3 linked regions of the Sus scrofa genome follow. Each later gene encodes a partner of the first gene's protein in a complex. Links are inferred from orthologs where the notes say so. Each region holds a gene or a part of one and is shown in the gene's direction. Other genes may lie near its edges.

The links.
Region 2: STRN (region 1) and STRIP2 share a complex: the UniProt entries of both Homo sapiens proteins name them as parts of the core of STRIPAK complex. The link is inferred for Sus scrofa from reciprocal best matches to the Homo sapiens genes STRN and STRIP2.
Region 3: STRN (region 1) and PDCD10 share a complex: the UniProt entries of both Homo sapiens proteins name them as parts of the core of STRIPAK complex. The link is inferred for Sus scrofa from reciprocal best matches to the Homo sapiens genes STRN and PDCD10.

Annotation. Positions count from the first base shown.
Region 1 is NC_010445.4:103,248,410-103,252,667, forward strand, and holds the start of STRN (striatin), read left to right. Parts: upstream 1-1,416; 5' UTR 1,417-1,560; coding exon 1,561-1,794; intron 1,795-4,258. UniProt on the Homo sapiens protein: Calmodulin-binding scaffolding protein which is the center of the striatin-interacting phosphatase and kinase (STRIPAK) complexes.
Region 2 is NC_010460.4:19,231,601-19,235,185, reverse strand, and holds part of STRIP2 (striatin-interacting protein 2), read left to right. Parts: intron 1-198; coding exon 199-434; intron 435-950; coding exon 951-1,016; intron 1,017-1,708; coding exon 1,709-1,772; intron 1,773-2,857; coding exon 2,858-2,929; intron 2,930-3,585. UniProt on the Homo sapiens protein: Plays a role in the regulation of cell morphology and cytoskeletal organization. Required in the control of cell shape. Calmodulin-binding scaffolding protein which is the center of the striatin-interacting phosphatase and kinase (STRIPAK) complexes.
Region 3 is NC_010455.5:106,556,136-106,560,408, reverse strand, and holds the start of PDCD10 (programmed cell death protein 10), read left to right. Parts: upstream 1-1,458; 5' UTR 1,459-1,598; exon of another isoform or gene 1,599-1,603; intron 1,604-2,194; exon of another isoform or gene 2,195-2,388; intron 2,389-2,652; exon of another isoform or gene 2,653-2,825; intron 2,826-4,273. UniProt on the Homo sapiens protein: Promotes cell proliferation. Modulates apoptotic pathways. Increases mitogen-activated protein kinase activity and STK26 activity. Important for cell migration, and for normal structure and assembly of the Golgi complex.

The DNA of each region.
Region 1 (4,258 bases):
CAAGTAGCAGTGGGAAGAGGGGGAGGGGGAATACAGGGACAGGATGTCCTTCCCTGACATGTCACTCACTAGCCTATATTTTTATATTTTTTTCCATGGCCATTAGGTTTGATATCCCAGAAGCCCATCCCACAAAAGAACTACAAATAACTTTTTGTAGGGACAAAATAAGTGCTTAATTTCATTTTCACTTGTTAAATTTTTTCAGGTCCCTTCCTTTCATTATCATTGTAGTGTGAATTAATAAGTGACATAATTTCAAGAACTTGGGAGAAGGATAACATTTAGAGAGAAACACTTGAAAGGACTTTGATGGGCCTTTGGTAGATTAATACTATTGCCAGATTGCAAGTGAAACGTGGAAGAAACTGGGAACCGGACAAGTGAAAAAGGAGAGGTGCCCGGATACCTAAGATAGCTCTAGGGAGTAGAAAGGGATTTTGTTCTTTTAAATAGTGTAACTTTAGGGCATTGCGAGAATTGATTGTATAGTTGCCAGTCTGCCTTTGAAGACAGGAACTGTGTCATTTATCTTTATATCCCCAATGAGATAACTTACAGTCAAATATTTGTTGAAATGTGTACCGACTGCTCAGGGATAAGGAAAAATGAGTTCGAAATAAAAGAGCCTTGGATATTTGTAACGTTTACAGGATTTACTGCAAGCTATAAAGGAGGTGAAGCAGAGCCCTGTTTTAGATGTGGTGTCACCAAACCAAAAATTGCAAGAAACAGAAAGCTGCTGTGTTGCGTTCAGGACAGAGAGATGATTAGTTCCTTCTAAATGAAAAGTGATCAGGCAACAGGTTTGACTGAACCTCTAGCGAGAAAAAAGGCAGGAACGACCGCGATAAGGAGATGGACAGAAGTGGAGTGTCTTGGGTCAGAGAATCACTCTAGACAGAGCAGAAGGGAGAGGTCCGAGCGTGCTGGCTAGAGAATCCCGGGCCATGGGGTCGGACCGGCGAAGCTTGCTTTGAGCTTGTTTCTTAACAGAACTACCAGGAAGCCGTAGGAGATGTGCAGCTTAGGCTGGCATTTCGGCGCGGTAACTTCCGTGTGTGTGTGTGTGTGTGTGTGTGTGTCTGCAACAGTGAGCGCCTTGTGTGTGTGTGTGTATGCGCGCCACAGTGAGCGCCGCCCAAGAACTTCCGCGTGCTAGGGAGGCTGGAGGACCGCCAGCCAGCCCCTGCTTAACCAAGAGGAAACCCGCGCTCCCCGCCGGGGGCCGCCCCTTCTCCGCCATGGGCTGGGGCGGGCCCGGGGGCGGGGCCGCGGTGGAGCCGCAGCCGGTCGCAACCCCTCAGGCAGCCCGGGCGGTGCTCGCCGGCACCACGCCCCGCGACTACATTTCCCAGCAAGCCCCGCGCCGCCCGCGCACCGCAGTTGACCCATTTCCCGGCCCGTCCCGAGCTCGGCCGGCCCCCGCGCCCAGGCGGCTGCTCCCTGCTGACTGGGGTGTGGGCGGGGAGCGGCGGAGGGAGGAGGAGACGCTGCTGGCCGCCGCCGTTGCCTCAGCTGCTGGGCGCCTGGGCAGCTCCCCGGGTTCCTGCGGCCGCCATGGACGAGCAGGCGGGTCCCGGCGTCTTCTTCAGCAACAACCACCCGGGCGCCAGCGGTGCCAAGGGTCTCGGGCCTCTGGCGGAGGCTGCCGCGGCCGGCGACGGGGCGGCTGCGGCGGGGGCGGCGCGAGCCCAGTACAGCCTCCCGGGAATCCTGCACTTCCTTCAGCACGAGTGGGCCCGCTTCGAAGTGGAGAGAGCCCAGTGGGAAGTAGAGCGGGCGGAGCTGCAGGTAAAGACCCTCCCGGCCTGGCCGTCTTCATCCCGCCTCTCCGCTCTCTTCCGCCCCGCCCCGGACCCTTCCCCCTCCCCCGCTCCGCTCGCTCGTCCCCTCCCCCTTTGCTCCAGCCCATCCCACCCAGAACCTCATCCCCTTCCTCCCTTCACCTTTGCCTTTAGGTGACCCCACTTCCTCGACCCGGGTTCCCACTCCCAGCTCCCCCCCCCATGCGTTGTTTACCCTCCCCGCACCTTTTCGTCTGCTCCTTCCCACTCTTAACTCTCAGGCTTGTTTGAACTCTCTCGCCATTCCACATTTTAGGTCTTCCCTTTCAGTTTACTAATTGGGCTGACAGTAGTTTTGAGAGATGAGCAAATCATCCCCTATCCTAGTGAGTGGCCCTCCTAGGTCTAGAGAAGATGCCTGGAAAAGGTATTGACAGTTGGCGCCTCTCTGTGAGGAAGGCGATCAGAGAAGACAACAGAAGTTGTATCCGTGAGGCCTTGACTTTAAGGCAAGAAGCTGCCGTTGGGTCAAAGTGTTACTAGGAATATCTGCTCCCTTTTTATATATGTAAATGTTTCTTCTTTTACTTCTTCCTCATCCCATCCCGCGTTTCTTTTAGATATTTCAGACTCGTGGATTTTGAATGAAGAATCTAGATAGATAATCACAGTCAGATAATGGTTCAGAGATGGTTTCTTGTTCTCAGAATCTAAAACTTCCCAAGGGTTAATTTTATGTTCAGGGTTTTGTGAGACTGACTTGTACTTTAAAAGGAACTAAAAGGAGCTTCAAAGTTGGTTACATTTCCTTGCATAATCTACAAGATAAAGTATATCCAGGGAGGAGCTATTGTGGGATCTTGGAAGAATGAAAGTGAGGCTGATACTTTGCAGGCCATTCTGAACTGGTAAGTAGGTTTCAGTGGCTGTTTTTAAAACTTCCAAGGCATACACTAATTTCACAAGGAATTTAAAGAACTACGAGTGGCTCTGCCTTTCTGTCTTTCTGGCTAATCCTGTATGCTTGTGAAATCTGAGTATAGTTTTGGTTGGTGAAACACTTGAAGTTAAAGTGCTACCCACTGTGTCACTTTTTTTGGTACCATGTATTTTCTTTGGCACTTAAGAGGAAAGAAGAAACAATCATGTTAAATAGAATCATGTGCTGTAACAGGCTGCTTTGGTGTAGTGCAAGTGGTTGTGGAAAGAGCAAGCAGAAGGGGTTACAGTATAAGCTGTGCTTGCTGCCTGCTCTTTGACCTTGAGGAAATCCTTTAACTTTTCTGAACTTCAGTTTCATCATTTATTTATTCAGCGTATTTATTGAATGCGTATTTATTGAGTAACTGTAGTTACTCCTCAGTTTTGCCCTCTCTACCTTACCCCCTCCCTGCCCCAATATATACACACACACTACTTACTGGGTTATTTATGGCAAATGTTAAACTTCAAGTAGGTTTCCCATTGGTGCTTATACTAAGGGCACTACATTTTTACAGTATCTTGGTTTGTGCTCCAGTTCAATTAAGCATCCATGGAGAAACTTAGAAAATGTGCCATAGTTTTTTGTTTTTTGGTTTTTTTTTTTTGGTCTTTTGTCTTTTGAGGGCCACACCTGCGGCATATGGAGGTTCCCAGGCTAGGGGTCTAATTAGAGCCGTAACTTTTGGCCCATGCCAGAGCCACAGCCACACCAGATCCAAGCCATGTCTATGACCTATACCACAGGTCATGGCAACACCGGATCCTTAACCCACTGAGCGAGGCCAGGGATCGAACTCACAACCTCGTGGTTCCTAGTCGGATTCGTTCCGATGCGCCATGACAGGAATTCCTGCATAGTTTTTAAACAGAGCAAATAGGCATTTTGGGAGGAGGGAGTTTCCAGGAATCTGTGGTTTTTGACCTCCTTATTAGTATAATTGAATATATATTTTAAAAATAATTTCTTTATATCAACATCATTAAATTCGACCATATCCCTTCTTTTTTCCATCAGAATCTTTCTAGTAGGAAATAAGAATTGAATGAATGGTAATGAAATTTGGAACAGTTGGTATCATCTTTTTAATTTTTAAATCTCTTCTTAAGTCAATACCAGAGTCAACAAAAATACTTTTAAGATTAGGTCTGATTTTTCTCTTCAGGAACCTGTCAGTCCTGCTCTTTCAAGTTGCCTGGGCAGAGTTGTGAAAGGCAACCCAAGCTCTCATCTCCCTGGCTTGCTTACACCATATCCTCCGTCCTTCAGATCTTGGGAGTAAGGAACTGGCCACATTATGCCAAAAACTTATTCGTCATTTCTTGCCCCCTTGTCCATCTTTGTTAACATAAAACTCTCTTTTTATTTTTGGCAATCTCTCTCCCACCTTCCCAGCACCATTCAAATGAGAGTAGGTAATTTATGGGAAAAAAATGGTCAAGATTATTCCTGAGCTTTATATTTGTGAAAGAAATTGAAGATAGAATAT
Region 2 (3,585 bases), on another chromosome or scaffold:
CCTGGAATTGGGCCTGGTGGGGACAGTAGGGTTGCAATGAGAAGGGAATGTTGTCACTAGAGGTGGGTTCTTACTCCATGTTCCCTGAAGTCTAGCAGCCTGCGGAGGGGGTGGTCTCAGACAAGGATGTCCAGGTGAGATCTCTGTACACCTTCCCTCTCTCCTTCTGCCCTTCCTTGCCCTCCTGCCCCACCCCAGCAACTCCTTACTAAGCAGGACAGCTTGGACATCTACAACGAAAGAGATCTCTTTAAGACTGAGGAACCAGCCGCAGAAGAGGAAGAGGAGTCCGCCGGTGATGGAGAACGAACCTTGGATGGAGAGTTAGACTTGCTAGAGCAGGACCCTCTAGTACCACCTCCACCTTCACAGGCACCCCTCTCTGCTGAGCGAGTGACCTTTCCCAAGGGTCTACCCTGGGCCCCAAAGGTCAGGTAAGTTTGATATCACCAGGGACCCTGAGCTTTGGGGTGTCAGTAACTGAAGGCCCAGGGTGGAGTCAAGGCTCAATAACCTGGCTGGGGAGTTCCCGTTGTGGCTCAGTGGTTAATGAATCCGACTAGGAACCATGAGGTTGCAGGATCGATCCCTGGCCTCGCTCAGTGGGTTAAGGATCTGGCGTTGCCGTGAGCTGTGGTATAGATTGCAGACGTGGCTCGGTTCCCACATTGCTGTGGCTCTGGCGAAGGCCAGCGGCTACAGCTCTGATTAGACCCTAGCCTGGGAACTTCCATGTGCCACAGGAGCGGCCCTAGAAAAGGCAAAAAGGCAAAAAAAAAAAAAAAAGCTGGCTGGGAATCAGAACTCCTGGGTTTCAAGTTCCCTCTGTTGGTTGCTGCCTTCCCCTACTGTTCCAGTTCTCCAACTGGAAGGGTGGAAGCCCAGTAAGATTATCTCAAGGTTTGCTTTTCTTCCCTTCTCTGGGATTTGGCTCTCCACTGTCCTCTCAGACAGAAAGACATTGAGCACTTCTTGGAGATGAGCAGGAACAAGTTCATCGGATTCACTCTGGGGCAGTAAGTGACTGGATAGTCAGAACTGGCTTGCAGTGTGGTTCTTAGGGGACCAGAGGAGTGGGTGGCTTGGAATGAGAGATGTTGCCTGGCTGTGGTGATTACGACCCAGAGCCATGGGCCACTTCCAGTGACTGCTTTGAGTTTTTGCCATGGAATTTTTTCCTTCCAGTTTCCTAGAACTTTTATGTTCTGAGCTAGATGTAGAACCTTGAACAATAAGTCATTTCCCTCTTATGCCTCAGTTCCCTCATCAGAATGTTGTTAGATGGTCCCCATAAGCCCTTCTTGATGGGCCAGAGTTCTGTGAAGCAGTGATGGTCAGAACAGATTCAGTGTCTCCCCATTTCCCCAGCCTCACGAGTCCTTTCACTGGCTGCTACAAAACTGAGAAGCCGCCATTACTGCTGTTTCACTGTCCAAAGTGTTGTTGGGCAACATGCCCTTTTAAATAGGATCCTGCTCCTAGAGGTGGGTCCCCAAAAGACTACACAAAAATCCTAATTTTCAGGGACACATCTCTGTACCATTGTTCTTTTTTGTGTCCTCAAGCAGTGATGGGTGACCAGGAAGCTTGCAGAGAAAGCTCCAGAGTACCAGATGTTGAAAGTGATGTAGTCCATGTGACTCCAGGGGGTATCGGGAGTTCTCTGTACTTTTGACCCTTATGGTCTGGCATGTCTTACATTTCACAGGGACACAGATACCTTGGTTGGATTACCCAGGCCCATCCATGAGAGTGTGAAGACCCTCAAACAGGTGACCAGGGTGGGCTCTCAGTCTTCAGAGATAGGGAGCGACCAAGGCAAGTGGGATGACTCGGCTCCTGGGCCCTGGGTGGGGCTCCTCCACCAGACATGTTCTGAACCTATTCTTCTGTATTTCCTCTGTAGGCATTTTGGCTGAAGAGGTTAAAATCAAGTGTCTCCCTACTTATGCAGTGTCCTGCATTCAAATAGATGAAAAAGTTCTCCTTTCTTCCTCTTTCCTTTGCCCTCCTCCCACTCCTCATTTCCTCTCCTCTCACTTTGTTCCTTAGAGACTCACTAACTTCCACAGGCCCAAGACTGAGTAGCAGTTTACTCCAAAGTGTGTGAAAGCACAAGTAAGAGTAAACATTCCTTCCACAGACCTTGAGCCCTACCCCCTCCCATTATCACTCTGTGCACACATGCACTCATACACCTGCACACACATACACGCACATGCAGCAAAACTCTCAGGGCAGTGGTCCAGTGGTAAGGGCCTTCATGTCCGCTTGCACTTTGGTTGAAGTTAAAATGCTAAGGTATGGATTTCCCGTTGTGGTGCAGCAGAAACGAATCCGACTAGGAACCATGAGGTTGCCGGTTTGATCCCTGGCCTCGCTCAGTGGGTTAAGGATCTGGCGTTGCTGTGAGCTGTGGTGTAGGTCGCAGACGCGGCTCAGATCTGGCGTTGCTGTGGCTGTGGTGTAGGCCGGTGGCTACAGCTCCGATTAGATCCCTAGCCTGGGAACCTCTACATGCCATGGGTGCGGCCCTAAAAGGACAAAAGACAAAAGTCAAGAGACAAAAAAAAAAAAAAAATGCTAAGGTATTTGCTGCTCTTCAACCAATGTGGAAACGTGGAATAAACAAATACTGAATACAAAGCACTTTACTGGTGTTCATGCTGCAAAGGTGAGTAAGACTCCTGCCTTCAAAGAGTCCATGGTCTATGGGGGGTGACAGACCCATAAACAGGACATTTCCTATTTGAGGTGACAGACCCATAAGCAGGACATTTCCTTGTCATTGAGGAAGTTAAGCGAGAGGCTGGTACACATGTGATCGAGGCCCTTATTGATGTCTTCTCTTCCGCAGCACAAGTATATCTCCATCGCAGATGTTCAGATCAAGAATGAGGAGGAGCTGGAGAAGTGCCCCATGTCTTTGGTGAGTCAGGGGGCGCTGCACAGGAGGAAATCTGTCTGCGGTGCTGTCATGGACTAAGTGTATGCTGTTGGACTCTTAACTCAGGCTGGGCAAAGCAAAGTCTCTACTTTCACAATATGTTAAACTTGGGAAAAGGGGTAATAAATAATTAAGGAGACAGGAAGACTTTCAGAGAAGGATAGATATGGCAAAGAAAATTTAAGTAAGATGACATATAACGTAGTAGACTACTTTAGATTGGCGGTGGGGGTGTGTAGACTTCTGAGAGGGTGACGGCTAACCAAGATCCGAGTTATAGGAGGAGCTAGCCGTGAGAACATGAGAGGAAAGAACACTCCAGGCAGAAGGGACAGCCTCAGTAACAAGGTGACAGCAAGCTCAGAGTCTTAGATGGTGAATGAAGGCTGGTGTGGCTGAAGTGCAGGGAGAAGGAGGAGGGTTTGGGGCCTGGGATTCAGAGAGATGGCCTGGGGCCACTTTACACAGGATGTGTAAGAAAAGATAGAGAGCTCAAGGTCAAGTACAAAGGTGAGCCTTTGGAGATTTTAAACAGGGAGTGACATGATCTGATTTATTTTTAAAAATATGATTGGGAGTTCCCATCATGGTGCAGCGGAAACATATCTGACTAGGAACCATGAGGTTTCGGGTTCCAT
Region 3 (4,273 bases), on another chromosome or scaffold:
AAACACATTTTTACATTATCGCTGGCAAAAGTTATACTTCTGCTAGGTTCCGTCGTCTTGATTATTCCTGACGATATTTGCTTCTTTAACAGAGATCTCTTTCAATTCTAGGAACCTGCAGTATAACCGCCCTGGAAAACAGGTCGGTAGCAGGACAATCTGATAAAACAATGTAAGGGGTAGATAGTGAAGAAGAATGCAAAGTTATTTTCCTAGTGAAAGAGTTCTGAAGTAATTTTATATCAATGACATTTTTTTTTAACCGGCTACGCACCTATCTAAATATCACCCTGTCCTAAATTAGTAGGGTTTCCTCAATCTTAAAATCTTCCAGAACAGTTTTAACGGTACAACTGAAACCAAAAACACTAACCACGCCCTTTATACCCAGAGTCAAACCACCTTTTGCTTTTTATCCTCTCTCCAAGTCCAAACATGTACATCTTTCACCTAAAAGGGTTTGCACCAGTTTCCTAACCCGAGTGAGAGACTCTTAGCTGTGCCTTGATATTATTCCTATTGGGAGACGCTTTCTCCCAGGCAGAGCAGACGCCCAGAAGTGGCACCCACGCTTACCTCCCACACACCTGCAACCCCTGGCGGGATGCTGGAGCTAAGGCTCCGAGGACTGCGCTCCGCTCCTGTTCCTGCTCTCCTCTCTCCCGGGAAACTACAGTCCAGGCTGCGCCTTCGGCTGCTACAGGGACCCAAGCTCCGCCTCTCCCTCCTCTAGTTGGCGAATTCAGCAGCTGTTGCTCCTCCCCCGGCTGTTCCGCCTGCTGCCCGGTTGGAGGCGGCGGGAAGCTGCTGCCCTGGTACCTTCGCGCTCCTAGCACTTCTGCAGCTGTCCTATCGCTTTCCTTCCCCGGGGACCCTTCTCCCTTCACTCAGTGGCTTGACACCTGGCACAGGGCTTCCCGCCCCGTCCCGACACCTACGCGAGGAGCCCGGGCTCGACCTATCCCTGACTGACCAGCAGGTCTGGCCGCCCGGTGTGCCTGGTTCTTGGCCGCTTTGGGGGAAACTGCTCCTCTAGCTAGGGCGCATCCTCACACCGCGTCCTCGCTCCACCAGGGCGATTTCTCCCCCCCCCCCCCCGGCTTCCTCTCAGGTTCCACAGCTCAGGCGCCCCATATTCCCCATTCGGAGCTCTTCCCCCGCCCCCATTCCTTCCTGGGCTCCGCTAGCCCGCCCCCACAATGGGTGAGTTGACTGCGGGGCCGACCCTGCATCCTGATTGGCGCAGGTGAGACCTGACCCCTCCCTTCCTCTTCTTTCATTTCACCCTCTCTCTTCTTCTCACCTCCTCCAGCAAAGGCAGGGAACTCTATTACTATTGGTTGAAACTGTCTCCACCCATCACCTTAGGCTCTACCGCAGGGCCTGACGGGAGTTGTAGTCTCTTATGTGCAGGAACTGCCGACGAAGCCCGCGAGTGGGACTACGAGTCCCCACAAACCCCTGCGCGACTCCGGCTGGGCAGGATTCCGGACAACGCCTGGTTCCTCTCGGGTCCTTCCGGCGTCGCCGGAGTGAATTGATCCGGGAGTTGAAGAGGGCTCCAAAGGTGGGAAGTGAAGTCAGTCCCTCAGTTGCCGGTAAGGTGAGGCTGTTCTGTCCCAGTCCCCATAGCGCCGCGCGGAGCAGAAGAGGTCTAGGGTCACACGGGAGCCGTGGCTGAGGCCCTTGGGCTTGGTTCTGGCAGGCGGAGCGGACGGGGCTGGGAACCGGGCCCTATGGGCGTAAGCGAGGTTACCCTACGCGAGTGGCGTAAAGCGGGTTTGTAAATGCCGCCTGCCCTGCTCGGGCCCGAGCGCCTCCAGGAAGTCTTCTCTAGGTGGGGGCGGGAGGGGAAGGGCGAAGTTGGCCTCTGGTGCCCCCGGAGAAGGGAGAAGGCGGATGTGCCTGGGGTGGGGTCCTCTGAAGATGTGGCTTGGGGTGAGGAGGTAAGGGTTTTCCCCCTGCTTTAGAAGTAGGATAGAGAAAAGAGCAGAGAAAGGAAGGGGCGATTGGAGTCTGCTTTTGAGGTGACTCGGGTTGTGTCCTTCGAGGGAAGAGGAGAACTGTAGAAGGAAGAGTCAGATGTTGACAGAGATCTACTGATTCAGTTCCAGTTTCATGATGTCCCTCTAAGGAGGTAATTTTGCCCCATGTAGTAAAGATTAACACTATTACACCTTTACTGTTTTCAAAGGCCATTCACAGTGCTAATGAGGAAACTGAGGGGATAAATGACGTGCCCAAGGACGCACAAGTAGGGACTGATCTTCTGAATCTAATCCAGTTGTAATCCAGCTTCTGAATCAGAGCCACCGCACCAGACTGAAAGTGTAGGAAGGTTTTGTTTTTTGAAGAGGGTGGAGGAAGTTGCAAAGTAATGCATTTTAGGTATGTCTAAGAACCTCTCTGTGAGGTGAAGAAGGTGTTTTTTTGTTTTTGTTTTTGTTTTTTTGAGCTGGGAAGAAATTTCTCAATAAAAAAAAGCATGCACTCTGACCTTTAGGAAAAATAAGGAGAATCAGTTTCAATTTACCTAGTTTGCTTGTTTTTTGTGGTTTTTTTTAGGGGTTTATTAAGTGACTCTGCTACCATTTTAAAGGATAGATAAATGGGATGGGGAAAGTCAGATAACAGTATGTCTCATCCTTACAGGTGAAAGACACCCCTTTCCCTTCCTACCATAGGACCGTTTTTACTGTTTTCGCTGTCAACTGAGAGCAATGGGATTGGAATTCTTTCATGAAACTTATTTTACATTTTTACAGCACTGAGAAAGATTTTAGTGAGCTTATTACTAGGAAAGAAGATACATTGCTTTTTTGGAGGTAACATCACATTTTGTTGTGTTGATTTTGATTTCCCCCTCATTTTCTTGACTAGTGTGTGTTTGTGTGTGTTTATAATAACACCAGGCTCTTGTGTATTTTAATTTTCTTAGCATCATCTATAACTTTTAACTCATTCTTATTTTACGTTGGAGAATGGAAAAATAGGACATTTGTGTTTTATTTTGAACAGAAAGCAGTGTGCTTGTTCCAGTCTATCCTTTATAACTGTTAGGACCAGTTACAGTTATAGTTCCTAAATATTAATATTATACAGTTCTTTAATAGAATTTCAGGATTATGTTCATTGGCATCATGATTTCTTCATGATAAGTTTCTGTCTAAGAATCAGGTATCTACTGATGGCAGATAATCAATCATGGTTTACTGTTGTATAACTGATGATTGAAATATGTTGTATTTTAAATATACTCTGCATTTATTTAACTTGTACACAATGTGTTTAACTTTTGAATCCAAAGACACTTTCTAGGATCAGAAGTACTAATACATTCCCCTAGGATTGAAGTGAAGATGGTCTGGAAATTAATATGACTTAAAATTAGAAGAGAGGTGTGATACTATAGAATGAAGTAAAATCAGGAATAATTAGCACCACGAGTAAGTAATGCAGTACACAAGGAAGGAAGACCAACTAAACAAATGGAAAATTATGTGGGGATAACTGGCTCAGTGCTGTGTTAGAAGGGTGCGGTAGTTTAAGTAGACCATAAACTGAATATGAGTCAGTGATAGTAAAACAAGAATGTTAATCTATTCTCTATATGGCAGTGTAGGCATTTGTTTTTTGTTGGAGGAAGTGAGAAATGAGTTCTTCTGACTTTTGGCATAGAGCTGGGAGCTTGTGGAATGAGCTTTTGAACCAAAAGTCAGGAAAATTTGGAAATCAGTAATATAGGGCAGTTTGTCTAGTATGTGTTAGTTTTTGTCCTTGGTTAATTCTACCACTAACTTCTCTTCATCTCTGAGGTCCCGTGTGTAGTTTTGCTCTTTCACCTATGGTGAATGGTGGAATAATGTTTCTGTTGTATTTGTCATCTTTCAGTTCACATGCTGGAATACAGTGGTCATTTTGGATCTCAGTGCATTGAATAATTTAGGGTTCACAAAATGATGTGTACCTTTGTATTTTTATAGTAATTTGCAGTTCACCAATGTCCACATGTGTTCCTATTTTGAGTTGTAGGAGCCCTGTGTCAGCTTTTGGATATCATCTAATACAGGGCTTGGGATGTGTACCACATACATCTATCTTTGAAGACATAAGATCTTTAAGAACAGGATGATCATCATTGTATTCCTAGTAGGTCACATAATTGAGTATCTGTTTACACAGAGAATAAAGAGGTTCAGATTGGTTAAGAGGAAGGTGATGTAACTAGTAACTTGGTGGGACCAAGACATAATCCAGATGTTATGACTATAGA